Linked DNA regions of Stegostoma tigrinum. The protein of the gene in region 2 purifies or fractionates together with the protein of the main gene of each other region. This does not show direct contact. Links are inferred from orthologs where the notes say so. Each region holds a gene or a part of one and is shown on either strand. Other genes may lie near its edges.

Region 1 (6,877 bases), on a different chromosome or scaffold from region 2:
CTGTGCTTTCAAGTCAGTTTTTGTTTTAGTGGCATGAGATTGAGAGAATCAGTGCTGACCTAAATCCTTTCTTTACCCAGATTGCTCAAAAGCTGCATATTTAATTAAAAGTCAATTTTAAAATATTAAATTCACCGAAGGGGCACTTGCTCACTGCAAAAGTTAACGTCTAGTGAGTAAGTCGAGGAACGATAAACCAACAGAACCGTATTACTATTATTTATGTTGCCAAGAAGCAGGTTCAAAAACCCTTCCAACCAAACTAGGAATACATACTTTGAGTCCGAACAGTTTCTTAAATCTAATCTCGTATTTTAAAATATTTTAATATTAAGCAGTTGGTTGTGTGCGAAAGCGGCCCACGTCCCCGAACTTAACGAATAGCATTCGAGAAATTATGAACGATTAAAACAAGACAGTAGCTTCAACAGCATTGAACTTTGCAAGGTGCCCTCCCCCTAGCTTGCAATTCCCAAACAAGGTCACTTCTCAAGCAGCGTCAGATTGGACTCGAAACCTTTACGTTGTTTCTCCATGGAGACTGCCAGACCTTCTTTATGTAAGGCTATTTGTGTTTTGATTTGTTAACGTGTTTACAAATTTATGATTCAAGCCCTTAGGGAATGAAGAACCAAGTTAGCAAGCGGGAGGGTATTTTTTGAGTTTAAAATATGGAGTCGGGCCCAGTGCGGTGTTCGTGCACTTTTTTTAAAAAAAGTAAAAGTCGATTTCCTTTCTCAGGAGACCTAGACGGCTCAGCAGCTTCGAATCTTCTAACTGTTCAACCTCTCTGCTACCACTAATAGTAAATATTATTCATCGCCTGTAGGTCGAAAGTTCGATAAACACCGTAAGATCGCTGAATTCACTGTTTTTGGAGGGGCACAGAACACCAGAGTATAAATAAGATTGAAGGATGATTACAATTGGGTCAATAAAGTCTGGGCTCCACCCCTTGCTCGCCCCGAACTCGATACAGTCAACACTGGCCCTGGAGCTTTTCATTGGTGGGTAGTGTTTTCACTCTTGAATTTGTGATAAGAACCAGGACGCTTCAAAATTCGCCGAATCCACGCGGCCCTTCGCGTTTAGGAGTTCGGTACCCAAAATACAGCAGTGGCTCCCCGGGGTGACTCAACTAGGGCATTCGGCTTCCTCTTTCTTTCCTGAAGGTTTCAGGTTGGAAGCTGGAAGGAACTGGATTCATTGCTGTCATTTAAGTTTCAGAGGAGCGGGAAACCCAGTGAGTGACTCCGAGCAGGAGGAAATCCAATATCCCCGGGTGACGCTGGGTGGATCCGTCTCTTCCCCGCGAGAGTGTGACAGCGGGCAGGTCTCTCTTTCTCCACCCCACCCCTTCCTCCAGGGTGAGATTAATTCCAGGGGGAAAGTCCTCGTTTGTCTTTCCCCGCGGGAGAGGGGGACTCCGGGCAGGACTCCTGCCCCAGTTCCCCAGGGTTGACTGATTCAGGTGAGGGTTATAGCAAGCAGGATTCCTCCTGGCTTCCTTCCTTCTCTGCCCCCCAAACCCCGACGAGGGTGACTCCACCGTTGGGCTCTCCACCGGAGAGAGTAATTCCGGGTGGGAATTCCCTGTCTCTTTGTTACAATCCCATTCCGCGCGTGAGGGAATCCCCGCCCCGTTATGTGAACCTCCATTGTGACGCATCCGAGGGGGGCAGGAGCCAATCAGCTCCTTATAGTACCAACCAATCAGGAATGGGAAGGCGGCGACAGTCGGTAGTTACCAATAGGAAGTACGAGGCGGGGCCAGTGATCTGGGGGCGGGGCTATACCGTGTTTACTGTGTGGGAGCGAGCCAGGAGGCCGCAGACCCCGGAGTCGCGGGGAGGAGGAGGAGGACGACGACAACGACGACTGGTTGCTGCCTGTGGATGTGCTAACCCATGGCAGTGGGGGCGGGTAGGAAGAGATTCGCTACCCAAGGAGAAGGTGGTGGTGGTGGTAGTGGTGTTTAACTGCCAGGGTGCACACAGTCGGGGAAGGTGGTGGTGGCGGCAGTATGGGGCCGGGAACGAATGAAACATCATACACCACCCCCGCCGCCCCCCCCCCCCTCCGGTCACCTCTCCCCGCCGCTTCTCTTCCTCATTGTCCGTCCCCGGGAGCTGAGGCCGGTGGAAGGCTGGTTCCACGACCCAGAAAGTTGCGACAGGCTTTTGTTACACATTCCGGGATCGGAGACACTCCCGCTGGGGGTGAGGGAGTGGAGAGGGTATGCGCGGGGAGAATGATGGAAGCGGCTCTCCAGCACGGGAGGAGTGTGGGGGTGTCTGAAGGCACAAGGGGAGGTGGAGCCTAATCCGATCAAGTCCCTCCCGTCCCCTCCCCTCCCCACAAAGCGGCTCCGAGAATCCGACACAACAAAATGGCCCGTAGACTGCGCAGCTTCCCTTCCGCCTCGCTCCCCTCTCCAGCTACACGAGAGCGGGCAGCCCCGCTCTCTCCGTGCCGCTACTCCCCACCGAGCAGATTATAAATAGTAAGCTGATGGCCAGAGAGAGTGAGAGCAACACCGCCCTCTCCTCACCTTCCCTCCCCGAGAAGAGGCAGCCCCGGTTTGGGGGGGCGGGGGTGGCTTCAGGAGCACGGTGTGTTTTTCTCCCCCTTCCCCAGGGGGATAGCGGGTGAAGTCGAACGTTGCCCCTGGCTCGCAGCAGCAGCCGCCCCAAACCCAGCCCTTCCCCAGGCTCAGGAAGCACTCGCCAAGGCCGGGGAGCTCTTCCCCCACCCCCTTCCTAAGCGCACACACATTCTCTCTCTCACTCACACTCACACACACACACACACACACACACACACACACACACTCCCCTCTTCACCCCCCTCCAAGTGAACGGACTCTTTCCTTCCTCCAGCCCGTACCCCTTGTGCAAAACAGAAGAAAAACCATTCAGAAAAGGAAAGCATCTACAAACAACACAGAGAATCGGAGGGTTCGCTCACCCACAAACTCCCAGCTGCTCTCCCTCCCCTCCGCTCTCACAGGCAAACCGAGAATGGATACACCCCCTCTCATTAACATAGGCCCCGGGGAGGGAGGGGACTGATAGAGCGTCACTGCTTTAAACTCAACCCCGCCAACAACTGTCTGACTCCGAGAGACTGAAGTTTCCTTCATCCCATCACCCTCAGCCCTCCCTACTCATCGGGGGCGGGGACCCTGCCTGGCCGCATTCGGGAGCTTCTTCCTTCCGATGCATTGCAGATGTCAATTTCAAGAAGAAATCTCAAAATCCGCCTCTCCACCGAACACAATGTTCACGGCCTCTTGTGGTCGTGTTAGGAAGCCCCGTCTCTAATTTGCGCACAGCATGCTCCCATCGGCTGCTAAGTGAGCCCCTGACCCATTCATGTCGGTGCTGCAGTCAATAACTGGCCCGTACCTACTGCAATGAGACTCGGTCGAACCCATAGTCGTTTGATTCGGACACATATGCTGTGCCTTTGAAGTAGACAAAATTCTACCAATGCAGGACAAATGAGCGTTTTCCACAATACATATGTTACAGAGATAGAAAGACAAAAATAGTCTGCTGTGCTGTGATAACAAGGTGTAGAGCTGGATGAACACAGCAGGCCGAGCAAAAAAGTTTTCATCTCGAATATCTGGGGAATACATGCATTGGAGGCAATTCAGAGAAAGTTTGCTTGACTGCTTCCGGGCATGACAGCATTAGTCTTCCAAGAATGGTGGGTCTTTTGGGCCGATACACATTTGAATTTGGAAGAATCTGATTTTACTGAAATATAAAATTCTGCAGATATGTTTTCTCTCATAGAGTCATTGAGAACTAGGGGACACAGTTTCAAAATAAGGAGTCTCCTGTTTAAGGCAGATGAGGAGGAATTTCTTGAGAGTCAATAGTGTGTGGGATTTTCTGTCAGTGTGTTAGGCAGACCTTTGATAGACAAGGGAGTTGAGAAAGCACAGGATTAGGATTGGAGTTGAGGTCACAATCAAGTCAGCCATGGTTTTATTTGACTAGTGGAGGAGGCTTGAAGGGCCAAATGGCCTGCTCTTGCTTCTATTTCATAAGATATTGGAGAACATCATTGTTCTTTGAAACAGTGATTGGATCACTGCCATCCAACTCAAAGCACAGACTGAGCCCTGATTTATTGCTACCCCTGATGGTGCAGCACTCCCTCAGTACTGCTTTTGAATGTCAGTGTGAGGTCCAGTTTCTGGAGTGAGACTGGTAACCATGCCCATCTGAAGCTGAAGTGTTACCCGCTTAAGTCACCTTGGAAAATGGCCCATTTCTACTCTGGATTTTGGGCACATATGTTAGTATGTAATCCTAGAGACAGGAATCCTACAGACTACTACACCTGAGTGCACTGGCTGTCACACTTTAACTACTAATCTGTCCTCGTGCCCATGTCTCATTTCCAGCCTACTTTGGTATATAGGAATGTCACTATGCACAATCTACTCAGGGTTGGAGTGTGTGCAGCAGGATTTTCCCTGACTCAGCTCATGTTTCAGCTGACCTGGACTACAGGCAATTATTGGTCTTAACACGAGGTGCAAAAATGCAATGTCTTCCTCTTCCCAGTCATACAAATCATCTCCATAGATGAATCACATTCCACTTTTCAGGCGAAACAATCTGGTTATGCAATCCCAAACATTCCTAATGTTAATTTCTCCACTATTGGAGGCCCCAGCTTCAGCTTCCTGGACCAAAAGCTCTGGAATGCCCTCTCTAAAGAAGCACACTTCCATATCTTGTTTTCCACTTTTAAGGGTTGTAGTGGGAACATAGAACAAACATCATGGGGCAAGTAAGCCAGGAGCCTTGGCCAACAGGGACATGGGTTTAAAATCCCATCATGGGAGCTGGTGGAATTTAATGTCAATGAGTAAATTTGGAACATGTTATTTTCAGTAACAGTGGCCATCAAACTACCATTGTTGTACAAACATATAGGGTTCACAAATGTCCTTTAGGGAAGGAAACTGCTGTCCTTACCTGCTCTGGTGTGCATGTGACTCCAGTCCCAAGGGTTGATTCAACTGCCCTCTGAAATGGCCCAGCAGGCCAAGCAGTTAAAGGGAAAATAGGATTGGTCAACAAAATGTTGGTCTTGCCAGTGACATCCTCAATAAATTTGTGGTAAATTTATTGTAAATAAATTTAAAAAGACACTTCTCAAAATCGGCTCTTTGACCAAGCTTTTGGCCACCTGACGTAATATGTGACACAGTGTCGTATTTAGTTTAATAATTTTATAATGTTTAATTATTTTTAAAGATGCTGTATAAATATACATGATTGTTGTTGCCGTGGAGATGGTTGGAAACTAGTAATCAGACAAGGAAGTTCTGTATTTCAAAGTTACATGTGCCTTGCATGTATAAAAGCACTTTAGCATGCTTCATTATCTTAACAGTGGAGTGTAAATGTAAATCTAAGTAAGTAAAGCTTTTGAATGAGTCCAAGTGGTTGCTTCGACTGACAAGTTGAACTGTATTTCCAACTAAAAATGTAAAAATTCAGTATAAAATTAAAATAAACCGGAAGAAAAAGTAAATAATTCTCTAAGGAATATTCTGTTTTAAAAACAGAATTGTCTGGGTGTTACCAAATTCCTCGCGGACATGTTCTCTGCAGCCTATGGCATGATTGGAAACAATTACTAATTCCACAAAAGCCCGTGTTATTCTCCCATCTTTCCTATCTTTGTAACCTCCAACCTTTTCTCCTCAGCCCCACAGTCCCAAACTACTTGGATTCGGCTACATTTTATGGTCTTATAGTCTAATCCAAGCTAATGGGTTCATTACAGTGTCTCAGTCCAATGCTGCGAATGGGATCAATTGGGGCAGACCACTTGTGATCTGTTTTAATGATCAGGAGTGAGCAGGATCACAGGACCAGAGTGAATAAATGAGCTCAATGCAGCCACTATGACTTGTTTGGGAAACAACAATGAAATACAGGTTGTGGGGAGAACGATGTGATCCAAAGGCCTGCATCAAAAATGAAATTGAATAAAGAAAATTAACTACAATAGTTAATAATCATCAGCGACATAAATAACTCACCAAGTTCCATTTACCCATAACGTTGCGTTTTGGTTTTAAAATTCATGCCCTTGTTTCTTAATCCCGCCATCACCTCTCCTTCATCCCATCTCTAATTCTGAAACTCCCCGAGATATGTGTTTATCTAATCCTGGCCTCCAAGCATTTCTGGTTTACAATTTGTAGTCTGGAATCTAAGCTCTTGGATTTTCTCCTTAAACCTTTCTATTTGGGTCTCCTCATAAGATAATCCTTAGGGCCTTGCACAGACCAAGCTTTGGGCCATCTGGTCTGATATAGCTCAATGTCAATTTTCTTATAACTCTCCTATCCAGCACTTTGGGATATTTTAATAAATTAAAAGTACCAACTCACTTAGGGGAGAAATGGGTCCAGTGGCAATATGCCTGGACTAATTTGAGTTTGAAGAACACAGTTAATGCATTTGGGATGCAGGTTTAAATCCCATCTCTTTGCTAGAACAAAGCCAGTCTCACTAAGAGTGACCATGAAACTACCATCTATGATTGTTAAAAATCCATCTAGTTCTTGAATGCCCTTTGAGGATGGTTTGGCGTATATGTGTACTATTTTGATTTGAGTTGATTTATTATTGTCACATAGGTACAGTGAAAAGTTTTGTTTTCTGTATAGTACAGGCAGCTCATACCATACAAAGTGCAATAGAACACAATGAAGAATACAACGTTATGGGTGCGGAGAAGGTGCACAGATAGTGAGCATTAAATGTAAACTTTGAGAGGTCCATTTAGAAATCCAGTAACAGTGGGGAAGAAGCTGTTCTTGAATCTATTCATGCAC
Region 2 (7,019 bases):
CACACCCGGCACCTTCCTCTGCAACCGCAAGAAGTGCTACACTTGCCCCCACTCCTCCTCCCTCACCCCTATCCCAGGCCCCAAGATGACCTTCCATATTAAGTAGATGTTCACCTGCACATCTGCCAATGTGGTATATTGTATCCATTGTACCCGGTGTGGCTTCCTCTACATTGGGGAAACCAAGTGGAGTCTTGAGGACTGCTTTGCAGAACACCTCCGCTCGGTTCGCAACAAACAACTGCACCTCCCAGTCGCGAACCATTTTAACTCCCCCTCCCATTCCTCAGACGACATGTCCATCATGGGCCTCCTGCAGTGCCACAATGACGCCACCCGAAAGTTGCAAGAACAGCAACTCATATTCCGCTTGGGAACCCTGCAGTCCAACGGTATCAATGTGGACTTCACAAGCTTCAAAATTTCCCCTTCCCCCACTGCATCACAAAAGCAGCCCAGCTCGTCCCCTTCGCCCACTGCATCACAAAACCAGCCCAGCCTGTCTCCACTTCCCTAACCTGTTCTTCCTCTCACCCATCCCTTCCCTCCCACCTCATGCCGCACCTCCATTTCCTACTTACCACCTCATCCCGCCTCCTTGACCTGTCCGTCTTCCCTGGACTGACCTATCCCCTCCCTACCTCCTCACCACATATCTTCTTTTCTCTCCATCTTCAGTCCGCCTCCCCCCTCTCCCTAATTATTCCAGTTCCCTCTCCCCGTCCCCCTCTCTGATGAAGGGTCTAGGCCTGAAACGTCAGCTTTTGTGCTCCTGAGATGCTGCTTGGCTTGCTGTGTTCATCCAGCTCCACACTTTGTTATCTTTGATGAACTGCACACCATTCAAATGGCCAACAAACATATAACCCATCTTGGTCCTGTTCTTTAACTCTTAAACGGACAACTCACACAGTTCCAAAGATCACTCCAAAACGCTCCTTAAAATGTCACAGTATTAGCATTATTGCTCCCAATTATTCAGAAAGTTCACGCCTTCTACATCAAGCTACATCACACATCAAGTCCCAAAGCCTTAAAGAAGCAGAACGAAATGGATATATTCTCTCCCTGTGGGACAACCTGTGGAGATTGATCCTGAGAGTTTCTAAGGCATGTTCGAGCGATTCGACAAAGACTTGAAGTGAGGGATGTGTGATTTCTGAAGAAGGGTCTAGGCCCGAAGCGTCAGCCTTCCTATTCCTCTGATGCTACTCGGCCTGCTGTGTTCATCCAGCTCTACACCTTAGAACATAGAAAAGTACAGCACAGTACAGGCCCTTTAGCCCACAATGTTGTGGCGTGGAATATTCCTAATCCAAAACTAAAATAGCCTAACCTACATTCCCCTCAATTCACTGCTGTCCATGTGCATGTCCAGCAGTTGCTTAAATGTCACTAATGACTCCGCTTCCAAGACTACCACTGGTAAACTATTCCATGCGCTCACAACTCTCTGGGTGAAGAACCTCCCTCTGACGTCTCCTCTATACCTTCCTCCTAACACCTTAAAACTATGACCCCTCATGGCAGTCAATCCTGCCCTGGGGAAAAGTCTCTGGCTATCGACTCTATCCATGCCTCTCATTACCTTGTACACCTCGATCAGGTCACCTCTCTTCCTCCTTCTCTCCAGAGAGAAAAGTCTGAGCTCAGTCAACCTCTCCTCGTAAGACAAGACCTCCAGTCCAGGCAGCATCCTGGCAAACCTCCTTTGCACCCTCTCCAAAGCCTCCACATCCTTCCTATAATAGGGCGACCAGAACTGGACACAATATTCCAAATGTGGTCTCACCAGGGTTTTGGAGCTGGCAGCTCTTAAACTCGATCCCCCTGTTAATGAAAGCCAAAACACCATATGCTTTCTGAACAACCTTATCCACCTGGGTGGCAACTTTGAGGGAGCTATGCACTTGAACACCAAGATCCCACTGTTCCTCCACACTGCTGAGAATCGTGCCTTTAATTCTATATTCAGCATTTAAGTTCGACCTTCCAAAATGCATCACCTCACATTTATCCAGGTTGAACTCCATCTGCCATTTCTCAGCACAGCTCTGCATTCTGTCAATGTCGCGCTGAAGCCTGCAATAGCCCTCGATACTACTAACGGCACCTCCAACCTTTGTGTCATCAGCAAACATACTAACCCACCTCTCAACCTCCTCATCCAAGTCATTTATAAAAACTACAAAGAGCAGAGGCCCAAGAACAGAGCCCTGTGGGACACCACTCAGCACTGATCTCCTGGCAGAATATTTACCATCTACAACCACTCTCTGCCTCCTGTCAGCCAACCAATTCTGAATCCAGACAGCCAAATCACCCTGTATCCCAGACCTCCTGACTTTATGAATGAGCCTGCTGTGGGGAACCTTACCAAATGCCTTGCTGAAGTCCATGCACACCACATCCACTGCTCGACCCTCGTCAACCTGTCTCATGACTTTCTCCAAGAACTCAAGATTTGTAAGGCATGGCCTGCCCCTCACAAAGCCATGCTGACTCCCTTTAATCACGCTATGCTTTTCCAATAGTCATAAATCCTATCCCTCAGAGTTCTTTCCAAAACCTTGCTGACCACAGACGTAAGACTGACTGGTCTATAATTTCCAGGGATTTCCCTATTCCCTTTCTTGAAAAGAGGAACAACATTTGCCTCCCTCCAATCTTCCGGTACGACTCCCGTGGAGAGTGAGGAAGCAAAGATCTTCGCCAGCAGCTTAGCAACCTCCTTTCTCCCTTCCCGGAGCAACCTAGGATAAATCTGGTCTGGCCCTGGGGACTTATCAATCTTAGTGTTTGCCAAAATTTCCAGCACATCAACTTCCTGTTGTACCAGGAAATGTACCACAATTTACTTTATACTCTTCCTTTCTGTTTTTCACACCAAAGTGTATACTTTGTGTATACATTTAGCCACATTGTAATGCATTTGGCAGTGTTTTGATCACTTAACTTGTTTAAACTTGTTTAACTTGAAGCCTTTTTGCATCTTCTTCACAAATCTTACCAAGCTTTGTGATGTCAGCAAACTTAAAAACATTGTACCTGGCCCTGGGTATTTATGTATATTGCAAATAGCTGACGGTTAAGCACTGATCTTTGTGATAACCTTCTAGCCACTGTCATCTATTTGAGAAAAGACCCATTTACCCTCATTCTATTTCCTGTCTGTCTACCAATCTGGAATCCATGCCAATATATTGACCCATAGCATGTGTTTTAACTTAGCCCACTAACCTCTTATGAGGATCCTTATTAAGTTGTTATCTCAGATTCTCCAGTATCTGCAGTTCCTACTATCTCTGGTGAGGGAGTTGGTCATCAAAGAGCTGGTAACATTGTGACTCAACGAGATAACCTGTAAACTTTAGATATTCTAACATCGTCTCATACGAATTGTTTGTGAAATAAAGTTGTAGATGCAAAGGAATTTGGACATCCACACAATATCGCTTTGTGTGGGTGCTTTCATCTTCACTCTGAGTCCGAAGAAAATTGTTTTGCCCGTTGCCAAGTCAAACATCCTACTCTCTCCACGTACTTTCCCCACTGCCATGTTGCCCTCCTCCTTTCGGCCGCTATAACTCTCAGGAAGAGTCGGCCGGGAAACAGGGAGGGGTGAGGGGAACTACAATTCCCGTCGTGCCCCGCGTCCAAGGGTGGTCGGACGACTTCCGGCCATCTCTCCCATCCAGCTAAGTGGGGAGCTGGATGAACACAGCAGGCCAAGCAGCATCTCAGGAGCTTTTGTGCTCCTGAGATGCTGCTTGGCCTGCTGTGTTCATCCAGCTCCACACTTTGTTATCTTGGATTCTCCAGCATCTGCAGTTCCCATTACCTCTTCCATCCAGCTGACGGGTGGAACTCAGTCGGTGGTGGGGCCGGGGATTATGGGAAAGGTAGTCCAGGCGCCCAGAGCGGATAGTGGACGCCAATTGTGAAAGGTACTACATCCCCCAGCGGCACCAGCCCAGCCGCCCATGCGCAGTGGGGGCGAGGTTGATGTAGGGGAGCCGTGGCCTGTCGGGCGGAGCTGCTCCCGGAGTCACGAGTGATTTTTGCTGTTGGTTTCTCCCTTCACAGTTGTGTGTTTTGTTTTTGTTTTGTGTACGTTCTGACATTAATTTACTATTTCTGTGAAAGTTTAATTTCCGTTTTTGCGATCTCTTTTTTTTTGGGTTTATTTTTAAATTAAAAAAAAGCATGAGCGATAACGATGACATCGAGGTCGAAAGCGACGTAAGTCTCGCCTGGTGCCTTCTATTATTGTTATTTTTGTTTCGAAATTTTGCTTGATTTTTCAGTTTCGTTTGTGTTTCGAAAATAATAATAAAACGTTTTTAACGTGTTGGGAGTTGTTTCCACCTGATTGTGAAAAAAAAATAATTTTTCCCCTTTTTTCTCTGTAGTTACGGATTTTCCCCCTTTTCTCTCTCTCTCTCTCTTTCTGTCGATTTTTTTTGTAAAGCGCCAACTCTCCGGCTGTGTGATCATTTTGTGCACTTGTCTGTTTTTCAGGAAGAACAGCCGAGGTTTCAGACAGCGGTACGTAACGGAGGATTAACATAGACCCCGTCTCGTCGCCTTGATTTTTCTTTAAAAAAAAATAAATCTTATTTATATACTTAAATAATCTTTAAACTTATTTTACCATCCCCTAAACGTAATTTACTTCGTGTAATCAAAGAAAAAACAAATCAAATTAATCTTAAAAGCCTGGATTATTATTTTTAACCTGATAGTTGCTGGGGATGTGGCTTCAAGCTGCTGTCCCAGTATCCTCCCTCTTTTATTTGGATTACCTTTTCAGAATATTATTGCAACCTTTATTTTTAAAGTAAGATGTCCCGAAACTTAACTTTACTGCTGATGTTTGTATATTTTAAAAAAATCGATTCCCGCCCGTCGCCTGAGTCTGGTCAAATGGCCAGCTCAAGGCGTTTAGAGCTTGAGTGATAGATAGTGTCTAGGTTAGAGACATTACAAAAGGCCCAGTAGCCCAGTCGTGCAGAATGCCCTTTAATGTGGTTCCTTAACCCTCGCTGTCTTAGGAATTCTTCTCCTCCATCTCTTGCTTGCCGATTTTCTATCTTCGTTTCACTTTTGGAGATTTTCATTCCTTCCCCTTTCCCTGTGCAATGTTTTCAAAAACAATTCATTTTGCCCACAAGCCTCAGCGCGTCCTATTTACATCCATTCCACTCTTGTACTGAAGCCAAACAAATAGATTCGCTCGAAATCGCTGGCATCTTATCTTTTTTGTTCCAGTATGTTTTTTTTATCCCTCTTCTTTTCCCCTGATTCACCCAATCTTCGCGTTTCGCGTGAAAGTGTGTCCGATCCATCGGAAACCTGCACTAATGGGAGCATTTAACACATTCGTCGTGAGCTGTTTTTCTCCCTCCCTTCCTCTTTTGTAGATGTGTAAACGTGTTTGATACAGCGGCTTCGGACGACCGGCTGCTGAAAGCAATTCTTATTCGTCGTTTTCGAGAAACTTTTTTTTCCCCTCTCTCCGCCTATTAATAACAAAATGTAAATAGTTAAGATACTTGTACGGGTTTTTTTTGGTTGTATGCATAACACAAAATGGACTCCAGGAAGTGTGTGTGTAATCATTGATCAGGTAGAATGATGCCTTTAAAAAGCCAACTGAACACTTAGTTATGTGCCATATTTAAATATTTTAAAAAAATTGAAAGTATAAGTTTTTAGGATCCCGTGAGAAATTTTACTTTTCTTGTGATGAGCAGCCAGGATGCCAAATACTCCACTGGTGGGCTGAAACCCTAATATTTGGTTGACATTCAGATCCTTAGGCCCAGACATTTTTGTTTATTGTCCATTACAGGGCACCTAGAATGTATTGCCTCAATAGGTGACACTTAGATTCCTCTATTTGTCTCCTGTGAAGTAAGCACAGAGCAACAATGGCCCTGAAAGTTGTGGAGGAATCTGTGACCTATTTGACTGACCTCCAACATTTAGTGTTGAGGTGAGACTTTTTAAACAGAATGATGACACAAATATTACCAATTATTACCTTGACCACAATTGAGTTACCTTCTTAATTGAAACCAACATTCAGTAAAGAAAAAAATAGGCACATAGTTCTTGACCTGTGGAAGATAAATGAGGATGAGCCTTACAGATGTTATGAATAACATCACTGAGAATAGAATGATTATTAGGGACTAAATGTATTTAGCAACTTGTTTTTGTGCTTGTAGACTTCCTAGCTGTGCAGGTTTTGGAGGGAAGCACTGCAGGGGCACTAAATCTAATGTATGTGTGTTGCTGTTGGACTGTAAATTAATTGCAGGTGCTCCTCTCACTTTTTTTACATTTGAAATTCAGTAAAATTGCTTTTTTTAATGCAAATCCCAGATGTGTTTATTGGGTAAATTCCTAACTGTTTATTAAGTTCCAATACTTTGAACAAAATCTATCAGAAAAATGCAGTTAACCAGTTTTCCAGTTTGTGGGAGTTTCAGTTGCAACACAGTTTTGTTTGCAAGCCAGATAATTATCTGTTATTTCAGCAAGAAATCTGCAAGCATTGATTGTTGCCCAAAATTTGCAAAAAAAAAAGAGTATTTGGTTTGCCAATGCTTTCTCACAATTGCACTATTCCTAACTGGTCAGGCTAATACATGGCAATAGTCACCTGTGGCTCCAAGCTTTAACTTCCTGTGTAATATGGTAGTTTGGTAAGAAATTAAACTATGGAAATTTTTTGTATAGAATTTGCTCCAATTTTTCGGCACTGTTTTTGAGGTGTTATTCAGTGTGCCTCACCTGATAATGTTAGAGCTGACATTACAAGCAGATGTGCAAAGTTGCCTCAAGATGATTGCGACTGTTTTTTTATCTTGTGGAATGCGGTATATGTCCTTTTCACTAATTATCTAATTTGGTGAGGCACATTCAGGAGTTTGAAGGAAGGAATGTGAAGTCAGACTTGTACTTGGTTATCTGCGGTTATTTTTCCTAAATGATGTGTGTACATGACTTGC
Region 3 (6,975 bases), on a different chromosome or scaffold from region 2:
ATTACAGTTAAATAAAGGTAATTACAGGGGCATGAGAGAAGAATTGACAAAAATCGACTGGAAGCAGAGCCTAGCAGGGAAGACAGTAGCGCAACAATGGCATGAGTTTCTGGGTGTAATTGAGGACACAGTACAGAGGTTCACCCCAAAGAAAAGAAAGATTATCTGGGGTAGGATTAGACAGTCATGGCTGACAAAAGGAAGTCAGGAAATGTATCAAAGTAAAAGAGACAGCCTATAAAGTGGCCAAGAGCACTGGGAAATCAGAAGATTGGGAAGGCTACAAAAACAAACAGAGGATAACAAAGAGAGCAATAAAGAAGGAGAGGATCAAATATGAAGGTAGGCTAGCCAGTAATATTAGAAATGATAGTAAAAGTTTCTTTCAATACATAAGAAACAAACAAGAAGCAAAAGTAGACATTGGGCCGCTCCAGACTGATGCTGGAAGGCTAGTGATGGGAGATAAGGAAATAGCTGAAGAACTTAAGTACTTTGTGTCAGTATTCACAGTGAAAGACACGAGTAGTGTGCCAACAATTAAGGAGAGTCGGGGGGGCAGAGTTGAGTATGGTAGGCATTACAAAAGAGAGAGTGCTAGAAAAGCTAAAAGGTCTAAAAATTGATAAATCTCTTGGCTCTGATGGGCTACATCCTAGAGTCTGAGGGAGGTGGCTGAGAAAATAGCGGAGGCTTTGGTTATGATCTTTCAAAAGTCACTGGAGTCATTGGAAAATCATTGTAACCCCCTTGTTAAAGAAAGGATCAAGGCAAAAGATAGAAAATTGTAGGCCAATTAGCCTCACGTCAGTCGTTGGTAAAATTCTAGAATCCGTCATTAAGGATGAGATTTCTAAATTCTTGGAAGTGCCGGGTCAGATTAGAACAAGTCAACATGGATTCAGTAAGGGGAGGTCGTGCCTGACAAACCTGTTAGAATTCTTTGAAGAGGTAACAAGTAGGTTAGACCAGGGAAACCCAGTGGATGTTATCTATCTAGACTTTCAAAAAGCCTTTGACCAGGTGCCTCACAGGAGGCTGCTGAGTAAGGTGAGGGCCCATTGTGTTTGAGTGTGGTCCAGGAAATGGCTGATGAAATTCAACGTGAGCAAATGTGAGGTCCTGCACTTTGGAAAAAAGAATACAGGCATGGACTATTTTCTAAATGGTGAGAACATTCATAAAGCTGAAGTACAAAGGGATCTGGGAGTGTTAGTCCAGGATTCTCTAAAGGTTAACTTGCAGGTAGAGTCTGTGATTAAGAAAGCGAATGTAATGTTGTCACTTATCTCAACAGGGTTGGAATATAAAAGCAGCGATGCGCTTCTGAAACTTTATAAAGCCCTAGTTAGGCCCCATTTAGAATAACATGTCCAATTTTGGGCCCCACACTTCAGGAAGGACATAATGGCGCTGCAGTGTGTCCAGTGGAGATTCACACGGATAATCCCTGGAATGGTAGGTTTAACGTATGATGAACGGCTAAGGATCCTGGGATTGTATTCATTACAGTTGAGAAGGTTGAGAAGAGATCTAATAGAATCTTACAAGATAATGCATGGCTTAGAAAGAGTGGATGCTGGGAAGTTGTTTCCATTAGGCAGGGAGACTAAGACCCGCAGGCACAGCCTTAGAATTAGAGGGGGTAAATTTAGAACGGAAATGAGGAGACATTTCTTCAGCCAGAGTGCTGGGCCTATGGAATTCATTGCCACAGAGCGCAGTGGAAGCCGGGATGTTAAACATCTTCAAGACAGAAACTGATAAATTCTTGATCTTGCAAGGAATTAAGGGCCACAGAGAGAGTGCAGGGAAGTGGAGTTAAAATGTCCATCAGCCATGATTAAATGGCGGAGTGGACTCGATGGGCCAAATGGCCTTACTTCAACTCCTATGTCTTATGGTCTGTTTCCATGCTGTACAACTCAAGGACCGTACATGGCAGCCTCTGTGGGAGAGAAATTGGAAGCTGACATTGGGGGCAGCACCATGGCTAGCATTGCTGCCTCACAGCACCAGAAACCAGAGTTCAATTCCATCCTTGGGCAACTGGGTGGAGTTTGGACATTCTCTCCATGTCTGCTTGGATTTCCTCTGGGTGCTCCTGTTTCCTCCTACAGTCCAAAGTAGTGCAGGTTAGGCAAATTAACTATACTAAAAATTACCCATGGAATATGCAGACCTACAGGCATAGGGTTGGGAATGTCAGTCCAGGTAGCAAGTTCTTTGGAGGGTCAGTGTGGACTTGATGAGCCAAACTGCCTGCTTCCACACTGAAGGGATTCTATTAAAAAAAAACTACAGATGTTGGAATTCTGAAACAAAAAAAAACAGAGAAACTCAACAGGGTTGGCAACATAGGGGCAGAAAGCAGGCAGCAAAGTTCTGAATCCAGTAACCCTTTTTCAGAAGGGTTATACAGCAATTTCTGCATTGGTTTCAGGGTAAATTAGACAATGTGTTGCAATCATAGTTCACTGTTACTCATTGAAAACAAACGCCAGGGACTGCAGACCTAAGATTACTAAACAGTGCAGCATCTGATAACATTGTAACGAGACGGATGCTTTGTCTTGAACCTGTAGATCGAACCCTGACAGCACAGACTTTTAGCAACATTTTAAAAAAACTCCAAGATTATCACTCACGTGGATATCACAGCCTTAGCAACAATGTCTCTCTGTTTACTTGCAAATTTTACTAACTGGAAACAAATTGGCAAGAAGGGAAAACATTAAAAACACACAAACCCTAGTTTCTACAATTTGTGGTTGAGGTATCATCGACTTCAAAAACAGCTTCATTTGTCTGAAGCAGCTGGACTTTTAGTCATTACTCATCCTAAAGCTCACCTCATAAATTGCACAAACTGTCTTATTTATAATTAATTCAGCACACTTTCTTTCAAACAAAAACACAAAAGACTCACAATCTTGTTCCTCCTCTTTGTGCAACTTGATGTTCGAATTCAGGTACACAACGCCGCCATTTCAGGCCGGATCATTTCCTTTAACGTGCTCGCTCATTGGAGGGGGCCGCAACCCCCGTCAACCAATGGAAAGAACAATAGCAGGGTAGGCGCTACCGAGCACTCTGGGAGATGTAGTCCATCAGCATGAATGGACAATTTTTAACCCTCACAGATAATTGCAGGCAGTGTAGGTTTTCCACCGCAAATTAAATTATCCAATGTTTTTCTACTCCAAACTAAATTATCCAATGTCCTGAAATAGCCATTTTCTGCTCCAAGCTAAATTATTCAATGTTTTGAAATAGCCATTTTCTACTACAGACTCAATTATCCAATGCTTTGAATTAACCATTTTCCACTGTAAACTAAAGTATCAAGTGTTTTGAGTAAGCCAACATAAAAATACATGGCAATGCAAATTTCATGCCAAAAAGATTTGAATAATCACACATTCAGAGTTCACATTGAAATGATTAAGATTCTGTAAGGGCTCGATTGAGTTGAGTCTGAGATTGTCTACACTGGTCTTGGAAGTAATAAAATACAGAAGCACAGTCTCAGGTTAAGGGGCCAATCATTTAGGACTGAGATGAAGAGAAATTAATTCACTGAACGGTTATCAATCTTTGAATTCCCTACTCAGATGGATGCAGAAACTATTGTTGAATGTATTTAAGGCTGGGATAACAGTTTTTGGTGTCTCAGGGAACAAGGTCTCTGGGGCATGGATTGGAGAGTGAAGTTGAAGCCCAATATCAGCCATGATTGTAATGAATGCTGAAAAAGGCTCAACAGGCTGAATGGTCTCTTCTGAACATCTAACTTAATAATTTTGAATGATATGCAGCACCTACTGATTAAAAGCAAGCAGGACTAGACTCAATGTTGAGTTTTCCTCAGTACATAATTTATTTGCAGAAAGTGGACCTGTATAACTTTCTTCTTTAATTAATTATTCACAGTAGTTTATTGTGTAGTCAGGGTTAGGGGATGTCTATAAGTATCCCATAATACACTGCACGGATCCATGTATTTTTCATGCAAGAGTTCTTTACTCACAGGAAAATCTGTACATGCATCAGAGGCTGTAACTGTTGTTACATCAGCAACACTTCAGCTTTGATGTTAACACCATGACTACAGTTATGGATACTGTTTGCTACCCAAGGTACAGACAATGTGGTATATACCCTTGAGAAGGTGGTGGTGAGTCGCTTTCTGCAGTCCAGGTGATGCAGATACACCCACAATACAGAACAAGGTCTCTGGGGTGTGGATTGGAGAGTGAAGTTGAAGCCCAATATCAGCCAAATTATGTACAGAATTGCAGAAATTTGACCTAGCAACAAGGAACAGTGGTATCAATCCAAGTCAAGGGCCCTGCAGTGATTTATTTTGGCTGAGATGGTTGACCTCTAAAAAGCTGCTAATTTGTGTTCAGCAGGTGTCCAGGATGACGACACAAATCCAAGGCATAAGAGTTGGCTTGGCTTGTAAGGACAGTCTGCAAGAGCCCACCCAACATGTCTGATTACACATCAGCACTTACTAACTCAGCACCATCCCCTACAACTGCCCTTCCCTTACCAACCCTCAACATCAGCAACTTACACCACCCAACCCCCCCAACACCTCCAACAAACCCCAACTCCAGGCATATTGTTCCCTGATGTGAATGTGTCCTCTATCCCTTTCCTGAGAGTTGGCCACCCTAGTAAAGGGCAAGTTGCTGCAGTGCATCTTGTAGATGGCACACACTGCTGCCACTGAGTTTCAGTGGTGAAAGGAATGATTGCTGAAGGTGGTGGCTAGGGTGCCAATCAAGTAGGCTCCTTTATCCTTGATGTTGTTGAGTTTCATGGTTGCCCGATTGCTGAATACATTTCAGACAGAGGACTATAAACAACCTGGCAGTCAGACTTTGTCAGGGGCAGGGAGAAAAGTGGAATTGCGGTCACAGTCAGATCAGCCATAAATCTTAGCAAATCACATTCAGGCTCGAGGGGCTGAATGGCCTGCTCCTGCACCTAATTCATAAGTTCTTGTCCAGTTGGAAGCCAAGCGGACAGCATTCCATAACATTGCTAACTTATCCCTTGCAGATGGTGGGCAGACTTTGGGGAGTCACTCACTGCATGATTCCCTGTCCTTGGTTGGCTCTTATAGTTACAGTGATAATGGGAACTGCAGATGCTGGAGAATCCAAGATAATAAAGTGTGAAGCTGGATGAACACAGCAGGCCAAGCAGCATCTCAGGAGCACAAAAGCTGACGTTTCGGGCCTAGACCCATCATCAGAGAGGGGGATGGGGTGAGGGTTCTGGAATAAATAGGGAGAGAGGGGGAGGCGGACTGAAGATGGAGAGAAAAGAAGATAGGTGGAGAGGAGAGTATAGGTGGGGAGGTAGGGAGGGGATAGGTCAGTCCAAGGAGGACGGACAGGTCAAGGAGGTGGGATGAGGTTAGTAGGTAGGAGATGGAGGTGCGGCTTGGGTTGGGAGGATGGGATGGGTGAGAGGAAGAACAGGTTAGGCAGGCAGAGACAGGTTGGACTGGTTTTGGGATGCAGTGGGTGGAGGGGAAGAGCTGGGCTGGTTTTGGGATGCGGTGGGGGAAGGGGAGATTTTGAAACTGGTGAAGTCCACATTGATTCCATTGGGCTGCAGGGTTCCCAAGCGGAATATGAGTTGCTATTCCTGCAACCTTCAGGTGGCATTATTGTGGCACTGCAGGAGGCCCATGATGGACACATCATCTAAAGAATGGGAGGGGGAGTTGAAATGGTTCGCGATTGGGAGGGCAGTTGTTTATTGAGAACCGAGCGGAGGTGTTCTGCAAAGCGGTCCCCAAGCCTCTGCTTGGTTTCCCCAATGTAGTGGAAGCCACACCGGGTACAATGGATACAGTATACCACATTGGCAGATGTGCAGGTGAACCTCTGCTTAATATGAAAAGTCATCTTGGGGCCTGGGATAGGGGTGAGGGAGGAGGTGTGGGGGCAAGTGTAGCATTTCCTGCAGTTGCAGGGGAAGGTGCCGGGTGTGCTGGGGTTGGAGGGCAGTGTGGAGCGAACAAGGGAGTCATGGAGAGAGTGGTCTCTCTGGAAAGCACACAAGGGTGGGGATGGAAAAATGTCTCGGGTGGTGGGGTCGGATTGTAGATGGCGGAGGATGATGCGTTGTATCCGGAGGTTGGTAGGGTGGTATGTGAGAACGAGGGGGATCCTCTTTGGGCGGTTGTGGCGGGGGCGGGGTGTGAGGATGTGTTGCCGGAGACACTGTCAAGGACGTTCTCGACCACTGTGAGGGGAAAGTTGCAGTCCTCGAAAAACTTGGACATCTGGGATGTGCGGGAGTTACGGTAATTTTTATGCCTGTTTCGGTTCAGTTAAAAGTCAATGGTAACCCGAAGGACGTTGACAGTGGTGTTGAATGTCAAAGGGAGATAGTTGGAGTCTCTCTTGTTGAAAATGGTCATTGCCTTACACTTGTGTGACACAGACCTCGCTTGCCTTTTAACAACTCAAACCTAGATCTTGTTGACATCATGCCACACTTGGATGTGGATTGCTTCAGTCTCTGAGAACTCGTGAATGGTGCCGAACGTCATGCAATCATCGGCAAACATCCCACTTCTGACTTTGCAATGGAGGGAAAGTCATCGATGAAGCAGCTGGAGGTGATTGGGCCTAGGACACCACCCTGAGGAACTCCTGCAGAGACATCCTGGAGTTGGAAAAGATTGCCCTCCAACAACTACGACCATCTTCCTTTAATTTAATTGTGTGGGAAATGGTGGGGTTCTATTTTAATCGTTTATGGGGTGTGAGTGTTTCACACAAGATCAGCATTTGTTGCCCTTTCTTAATAACCTACAAACTCAGAGGCTTGCTCGATCACTCCAGAGGAGATGTCCATGACATATCTGAGGTCCTGGAACCATACATAGGTTGATGAGATAAAGACAGCAGATTAATCTTCCTTCTCAATGAACCAGATTTTTAT
Region 4 (7,121 bases), on a different chromosome or scaffold from region 2:
TGATTCCATAGCCAAGTATAATCATTCAATTGTATCATTCACATTTTATGAAATTACAGTAGCAAACTTTTGTTTTTAGTATTGGCCATACTTGGGTAGAAGGGATTTAAAGTAATCTTGCTGCGAAACAAACAACTTATAAAATACGCAGATCTAAATTTCAGATTTCCATTATTCACAATGACATTTTTTTGACTACAGTTTAGAACTTCACGGTACAAAAGTAAAATGGGCAAGTGGAGAAGAGTTTCACTGCTGAATTCAGTCCAAAACTAGGTACAGCTTTCAAAGGAGGTAAACATGGTGGAATGGGTGGCATTTCTGCCTCTAGGCTAGAAATCCTAGCTTCAATGATCCCACCAGAACTTAAATGACTAAGAAAGGAATAATCATAAAATGGCCAAACAGATTGAATGTCACCCTGTAAATTTCTCCAGAGAGTATGTTAGCTCACTTGGTTGGATGGCTGATATGTGATAGAGAACAACACCATCTTCGTTCAATTTCCACAATGGTTAAGGTCACGAATACATAGTGACCCAAGCTAAAGTCACCTATCAGTCACCTTTCTCTAATGAGGGAGCAGCTTTATGGTCCTTTGGGACATTAGCAGCATTACTTGCTTAAATCCCAGCAGCATACACCAACAAGCAGTTAGAATGGGAAAGACTCCTCGTCAGCCCTGTAATGGAAAGAACTTTGGAGCCGCTACCATCATGTGCCTATCATTCACACCTCCAAACTACAAAATGCACACAGGAGTGCATTTTATCGTAACAACCCAAGCATGGAGTAAACTGTAACGTACCACCACATTGCAGAAGTTGCTTTACTGTCAAGATAGAAGTTAGGAGAGCATATTTGCAGAAGCTTGCAACTTCAGACAAATATTTCACAAGATGTTTTTGTTAGACACATTACTGCAAGGATATTTAGCATATTTAGGTTCCAATAACAAATCTAATATATAAATGAGCATTTTTTTCCTAGCTCCACTGAACACATCCATGATATTCCCCACTTACTAGCTCTATGCAGGGTCCTTATCCAGCTGCTGACTATGAGAATTTGAAGTTTTTTTTTGTTTGATTTCAGCAGATCCTTAATTCACAATTATAAAAATCTGCCATTTTGTAACTCTTTTAATCAACTCCAACATCACAAGTGGCACAATAACTATCTGCTGAAGAGTGTCAATTGTGTGTTGAAAAGTCTGTGTCCCAAGATAAATTGTTAACCTCATTCTGAAGTCAGAATGGCACACCTGGGACCACAACAGGAACTCAGATTTTCATTGTTTGGGGCCTAGGAGTATATGAACAAATTTTAATTTGTTAATTTAAATATGGTCAAATGGCTAAATACTGTAAATGGGATATAACATGATGCATTTTCTTTTTATTATTTGTAAACATGGATTAACTCACTAGTAGAAACAAGGCTAATAGGAGAAAAAAAGGAATCTTCAACCGTGGTCATCTTCTACTTTGTATCCGCCTACTCAAGCCCCTAGGAAAGAATAATCAGCAATTGCTCACATGTATAAAGTCAGCATTTCAAACATTACATTTTGGAGTAAACATGATAGTAACTATTTGAAAATGTGTTTAAATTAGAAATACGTTTAAATAGAAAAGGGATACATAGTGCAAGATGGCAAAGGTTATACCAACCTAATCATGATCAGTCATATGAACATAAACATTCCAAAAGCAAAAATACAAACCAATTCCAATGTAATTACTTGCTCTTGTGTAGCATTTGATTCAAATTACAGACTTCTATCTAATAATCCCAATTGTTTTAAAAAAACAAACTTCTAAGCCAGATTTTAAAAAGTTAAAGTACAGCAATAAAAAAAACCAAGAACATTAAACTACTCTTACTCTTTGAATTCAAAATTATCTAACATATATAAAACATCTAACATTAAGGAACACTAGGTCACCATTTTACATCTTCCTAGTTTCCAACCCCCTCCTCATACCACAACGACCAGACTAAAAAAATGCGACAGTAGCAAAGAATCGTTTCATAATGAAAAATAAAGAATGCGCACTTCGTAAGAATGCTAAGGTTCAAGTCCTGAATTTCCACATACAAGGATCCTATTAAATCACAAAAAAATGCCAGTTACAAACTGATAACTAAACACCGATATTTACAGTATTAAAACACAAAGACTTCCGCACATTAAGGAATTGGAGTCTCATTTAAACTACCTTTTAACTCATTACCTCAACCTTAAATAAATAACCGGCGCAGGAACAGCGACAGAAGATAAAATCCAAGGCAATTGTTAACAAAAGTTTATGTCAATCTCTTAGGTCTATGAATCAAAGAAGGTGCATTTCCCCCCAGTTTACAGGTTGAAACCCGACCTCGCCACCCACCCGACAGGGGCAGGCAGAGAGTTCACAAGTCCTAGAAACCTTCACGACCAAAACAAATGAACCACGGCCTCCTTGGATTGTTACACGGACTTCCGTTCGCTCCCGCCACTGGCCAGGAGTTTGGGCCTAGATAATTTTGGTGTACCCGACTCGATTGAGATGGAAGTTTTAAAAAAAAAATCAGCTTGTTGGTTGATTGCTCTCGAGCGGCTCTGCAGTGCTACCAGGCCCGCACTCCGCGCTCACTACGAGTCAGCGGATGGAAGTAAGAGTGAAGCACTGATCGGCTGGCTAGCTGGCGCACTAGCTGCTGCCTGCCCTACCTGCCCAATTCAGTCCTGATGTGCTCCGCTGGCTGTCCGGACTGCCCGCCCTCTGTCTCTCTATTTTTCTTTTCCACTTTTTTTTCCTCTCTCTTTTCCCCCTCTCCCTCTCCCTCTCTGAGGTTCACTCGGTCCCGCCAAAACACGCGCTGACACAACGCGCTTGCGCACACCTCCAACCAGCACTCCCTCCGTTTTCCAAAATTTATCGAATAACTTAACATAAACTATTCACGAGTACACGCCTACGAGGCACAGAACCAAACCTAGATCTTTTAAATAAAAAAAATACAGTCCTTATCGAAACACTAATCATTTCGGAGCCAGCCCACCCGCCCGTCACGTGACCAAGAATCACTTTTAGGAAATTATTTTGGCAGATTGTATTGAACTATTCAACCGAATATTGACTGAAAAAACGATAATGTCCCACGAAACAAAAATGTCTGCGATATACTTAAAAATTCGATTTCTAAATTGCGTCATACCCGAAGCTGTTTCGACTTTTTCCCTTAGAAGCCCCTGAGGCTTAATTAGTGTGTTCAATTAAGGGTGATACTTCTTTTAAAAATAATTTTTCAGATCTGTACTATAAACAAATTTTCTTTTATTTTCGGAAAATCTTTTTCGATCCTCGTCCGGTTTCGTCACCAAATTTGCCGTTGGCAACTTGGCGTCACGTGACTAACGAACGGCCATTTTGTAGGACTGAGAGAAGGTTCTAGAAAATTGAGCGGCGACGGTGGTGGCTGTGTCGAGGAGGCTGTGCGTCACAGCTTGTCTGTTTACTCGTTTTTCTTTAGATATAACGCAATTTTTTATCGATATAGCGTTGTTTACGAAGCGCTTGAGTTGAAGTATAGCATTTTTATTTAAAAATTATTTTTTCGAGCAGGATGGAGGTAAGGGATAGAAAAAATGAGGGTTGGGGAGGGTGGCGTAGCGTATTTTTTTCAGTGTACAATTTTGAAAGGTTTGATTTGAGATCCTATGGTGATAGAAGCAAATGGGGATGCCGCGCCGAAAATGGTGGGTAATCGCAGCCTGTTTGCGGGCTTTACCGTTGCTACTGGGAAGCAGGAGTCGAGTGTAGGTGAAATATATGGGGGATATTGCGCTTCTCGGGTCTTTCTCGATATTTTACAGCAGTTTTTTTATGTCAACTCGTCCGTTGATATCTAAAGAGAGACTTGTCTTGCTTCTTGAGAAGTTTGAATGTTCACTAACATTTCAGGATTGAACCCGATTTTTTAATAAACGGTAATCTCAAACGTTCCATATTTGCGTTACGTTTACTATACCATCTAGAAGGTTTGAATCTTTTCAATACCAAAAAAATTCAGCACACACACACTTGTCTTTGCAGGGGAGTTGCTGAAGGCAATTATAGAATGAGCACTTAGTGTTTTATGCAGTTCTGAATCATTGTAGAGACTAAAAAGCCTTCCTGGAAGGTGACAGGTAAAGTGGGTAAATTGGTTCTTTTGTATAGGAAAGGTGATTTCAGAAACGTCTTGGGGGAAGATGACTTGAGATAGATTGGATTAAAAAGCATCAGAAAAACCTACCAAGAGAGAATAAACTGCAGGAGATTTGGGGGGGGGGGGGTGTGCAAAAACAGTAGTTTGGAGGGTTTTTGCATCAACTGTAAGCCTCCATGATGCACTTCTCACTGATGCCTGAGAAGTGCTGACAACATTCACCCTACATGAGCAGCAGTTCCTACTGAAGTTGTAAATCCCCGTGGCCAGAGGGCTGAGGTGTGTAGAATTACAACACTGTTCTCTTAATCTTGTTACATTGAACTGTATAGAAGACCAAAAGTAGAAATTTGTGTATTTAATGAGTTGCATTTTACATGCCTGCTTTGGAATCCCAGGTCTGGCTTTAAGTCCTATTTATAGGGCTTGTGTGCATCACATCAGGCTGATGCTCCAGCGGGGAGTCTTAACCTGCCAGAGATACCACTTTTTTTAATGTGATGTTAAATAGGTGCTGGCTGTCCTGTCAGATGTTTGAAAATAAAGTGGGGTATTTTCTTGAGAGACAACCATAGAATTACTCCTGGTTAATATACGTTCTTTGTCAAAATCACAAACATGTGGATGTGGTGTATATGGACTTCAGCAAGGCATTTGATAAGGTTTCCCATGGTAGGCTCATTCAGAAGGTAAGGAGGAATGGGATACAGGGGAACTTAGCTGTCTGGATACAGAATTGGCTGGCCAACAGAAGACAGCGAGTGGTAGTAGAAGGAAAATATTCTGCCTGTAAGTCAGTGGTGAGTGGTGTTCCACAGGGCTCTGTCCTTGGGTCTCTACTGTTTGTAATTCTTATTAATGACTTGGAGGATGGGTCAGCAAGTTTGCAGACGACACAAAGGTCGGAGGTGTCGTTGACAGTATAGAGGGCTGTTGTAGGCTGCAGCGGGACATTGACAGGATGCAGAGATGGGCTGAGAGGTGGCAGATGGAGTTCAACCTGGATAAATGTGAGGTGATGCATTTTGGAAGGTTGAATTTGAAAGCTGAGTACAGGATTAAGGATAGGATTCTTGGCAGTGTAGAGGAACAGAGGGATCTTGGTGTGCAGATACATAGATCCCTTAAAATGGCCACCCAAGTGGACAGGGTTGTTAAGGAAGCATGTGGTGTTTTGGCTTTCATTAACGGGGGATTCAGTTTAAGAGTCGTGAGATCTTGTTGCAGCTCTATAAAACTTTGGTTAGACTGCACTTGGAATACTGCGTCCAGTTCTGGTCGCCCTATTATAGGAAAGATGTGGATGCTTTGGAGAGTGTTCAGAGGAGGTTTACCAGGATGCTGCCTCTACTGGAGGGCTTATGAAGAGAGGTTGACTGAGCTCGGACTTTTTTTCATTGGAGAAAAGGAGGAGAGGGGACCTAATTGAGGTATAACGAGAGGCATAGATAGAGTTGATAGCCAGAGACTATTTCCCAGGGCAGAAATGGCTAACACGAAGGGTCATAGTTTTAAGCTGGTTGGAGGAAAGTATAGAGGGGATGTCAGACGCAAGTTCTTTACACAGAGTTGTGAGAGCGTGGAATGCGTTGCCAGCAGCAGTTGTGGAAGCAAGGTCATTGGGGTCATTTAAGAGACTGCTGGACATGCATATGGTCACAGAAATTTGAGGGTGCATACATGAGGATCAATGGTCGGCACGACATCGTGGGCTGAAGGGCCTGTTCTGTGCTGTACTGTTCTATCTGGTTGTCATCACATGTTGAGAACTTTGCCTGTAAGTTGGCTATCAAATTTCCTGCATTACAACAGGATCTACACTTCAAATAGAACATAGAACATAGAACAGTACAGCACAGAACAGGCCCTTCAGCCCACAATGTTGTGCCGACCATTGATCCTCATGTATGCACCCTCAAATTTCTGTGTCCATATGCATGTCCAGCAGTCTCTTAAATGACCCCAATGACCTTGCTTCCACAACTGCTGCTGGCAACGCATTCCATGCTCTCACAACTCTCTGTGTAAAGAACCCGCCTCTGACATCCCCTCTATACTTTCCACCAACCAGCTTAAAACTATGACCCCTCGTGCTAGCCATTTCTGCCCTGGGAAATAGTCTCTGGCTATCAACTTTGACTAAGGCACTTTGGGAGACCCGGTGGTCTTGAATAGCGTGGCATAAATGCAAATGCTTCTTCATAGATGTTTGTAAAGAGCTTGTCTATTTTGCACTTGTCCTATGGAGGATACTGCATATTAAGCTGCAAGTGTATTTGTGGCCCTGAGAATAAGGATGGGAGCTGTGTTGCAGCTCTTGCAGACAAAGGGAGAGTGTGAGCATTGGGTCCCTTCATATTTTGGGCAGAGGGGTCATTTTGCAGCAATCTGCAGATGTGAAAGGTGAAGATGATTCTGAAGAAGGCAAATGTATGCTATTTACGGAATGGGATAATTCACTAATGCTAACGTGGTGTATGATAGCCCACAGGCATAACAGTAACATCCCTTGGAACCCAGGTTTATGTAATTTTAATCCATGTGTGAATTAAAAAAAAATATATACTTGATTATCAACAGTAACAGGTTACATTTATATACTGTGTGAGAAATAATGCATGTTCCTGGAGTATTGAGGTCAAAGCTGGAATCTTATCAGAATGGAGCAGGGCAGTACATAGGTGAAAGTATCCAGTATTATAGAGGATGAAAGTTCAGTTTGGTGTTAAATAGGAAGTGTGGTGGATAAGTTGGTGAGGTTCTTGAATTTTTGGCAGGGGCCAAGGATTGTTGGCTTTGGGCTTCACAACTTCTTCTGGAATCTTTTTGATTTCAGACAATTAAAATGCATCCAGAACGGCATGTCAAGGAAGCAGTTTGCTGCACAGATAATTGAAGGAGAGGTCTGTGTTCTTAGATTTGGA

Evidence for each region.
Region 1: the proteins of max (region 2) and sin3aa purify together in Homo sapiens (affinity purification with mass spectrometry; 3 studies listed by BioGRID and IntAct, with this or other methods). This does not show direct contact. The link is inferred for Stegostoma tigrinum from reciprocal best matches to the Homo sapiens genes MAX and SIN3A.
Region 3: the proteins of max (region 2) and lethal(3)malignant brain tumor-like protein 2 purify together in Homo sapiens (affinity purification with mass spectrometry; 6 studies listed by BioGRID and IntAct, with this or other methods). This does not show direct contact. The link is inferred for Stegostoma tigrinum from reciprocal best matches to the Homo sapiens genes MAX and L3MBTL2.
Region 4: the proteins of max (region 2) and chromobox protein homolog 3-like purify together in Homo sapiens (affinity purification with mass spectrometry; 3 studies listed by BioGRID and IntAct, with this or other methods). This does not show direct contact. The link is inferred for Stegostoma tigrinum from reciprocal best matches to the Homo sapiens genes MAX and CBX3.

What each region holds. Positions count from the first base shown.
Region 1 is NC_081389.1:4,646,709-4,653,585, reverse strand, and holds the start of sin3aa (SIN3 transcription regulator family member Aa), read right to left. Parts: upstream 3,010-6,877; 5' UTR 2,968-3,009; intron 2,656-2,967; exon of another isoform or gene 2,552-2,655; intron 2,235-2,551; exon of another isoform or gene 2,088-2,234; intron 1,223-2,087; exon of another isoform or gene 925-1,222; intron 1-924. UniProt on the Homo sapiens protein: Acts as a transcriptional repressor. Corepressor for REST. Interacts with MXI1 to repress MYC responsive genes and antagonize MYC oncogenic activities. Also interacts with MXD1-MAX heterodimers to repress transcription by tethering SIN3A to DNA.
Region 2 is NC_081363.1:71,192,946-71,199,964, forward strand, and holds the start of max (protein max), read left to right. Parts: upstream 1-3,998; 5' UTR 3,999-4,206; coding exon 4,207-4,242; intron 4,243-4,521; coding exon 4,522-4,548; intron 4,549-7,019. UniProt on the Homo sapiens protein: Transcription regulator. Forms a sequence-specific DNA-binding protein complex with MYC or MAD which recognizes the core sequence 5'-CAC[GA]TG-3'. The MYC:MAX complex is a transcriptional activator, whereas the MAD:MAX complex is a repressor.
Region 3 is NC_081391.1:5,934,447-5,941,421, forward strand, and holds the start of lethal(3)malignant brain tumor-like protein 2, read right to left. Parts: upstream 3,015-6,975; 5' UTR 2,930-3,014; intron 1-2,929. UniProt on the Homo sapiens protein: Putative Polycomb group (PcG) protein. PcG proteins maintain the transcriptionally repressive state of genes, probably via a modification of chromatin, rendering it heritably changed in its expressibility.
Region 4 is NC_081355.1:56,506,225-56,513,345, reverse strand, and holds the start of chromobox protein homolog 3-like, read right to left. Parts: upstream 3,019-7,121; 5' UTR 2,890-3,018; intron 2,876-2,889; exon of another isoform or gene 2,717-2,875; intron 2,706-2,716; exon of another isoform or gene 2,394-2,705; intron 2,081-2,393; exon of another isoform or gene 2,060-2,080; intron 2,027-2,059; exon of another isoform or gene 1,674-2,026; intron 1,510-1,673; 5' UTR 1,480-1,509; coding exon 1,428-1,479; intron 1-1,427. Other genes in the region: heterogeneous nuclear ribonucleoproteins A2/B1-like, read left to right, coding at 3,613-3,618.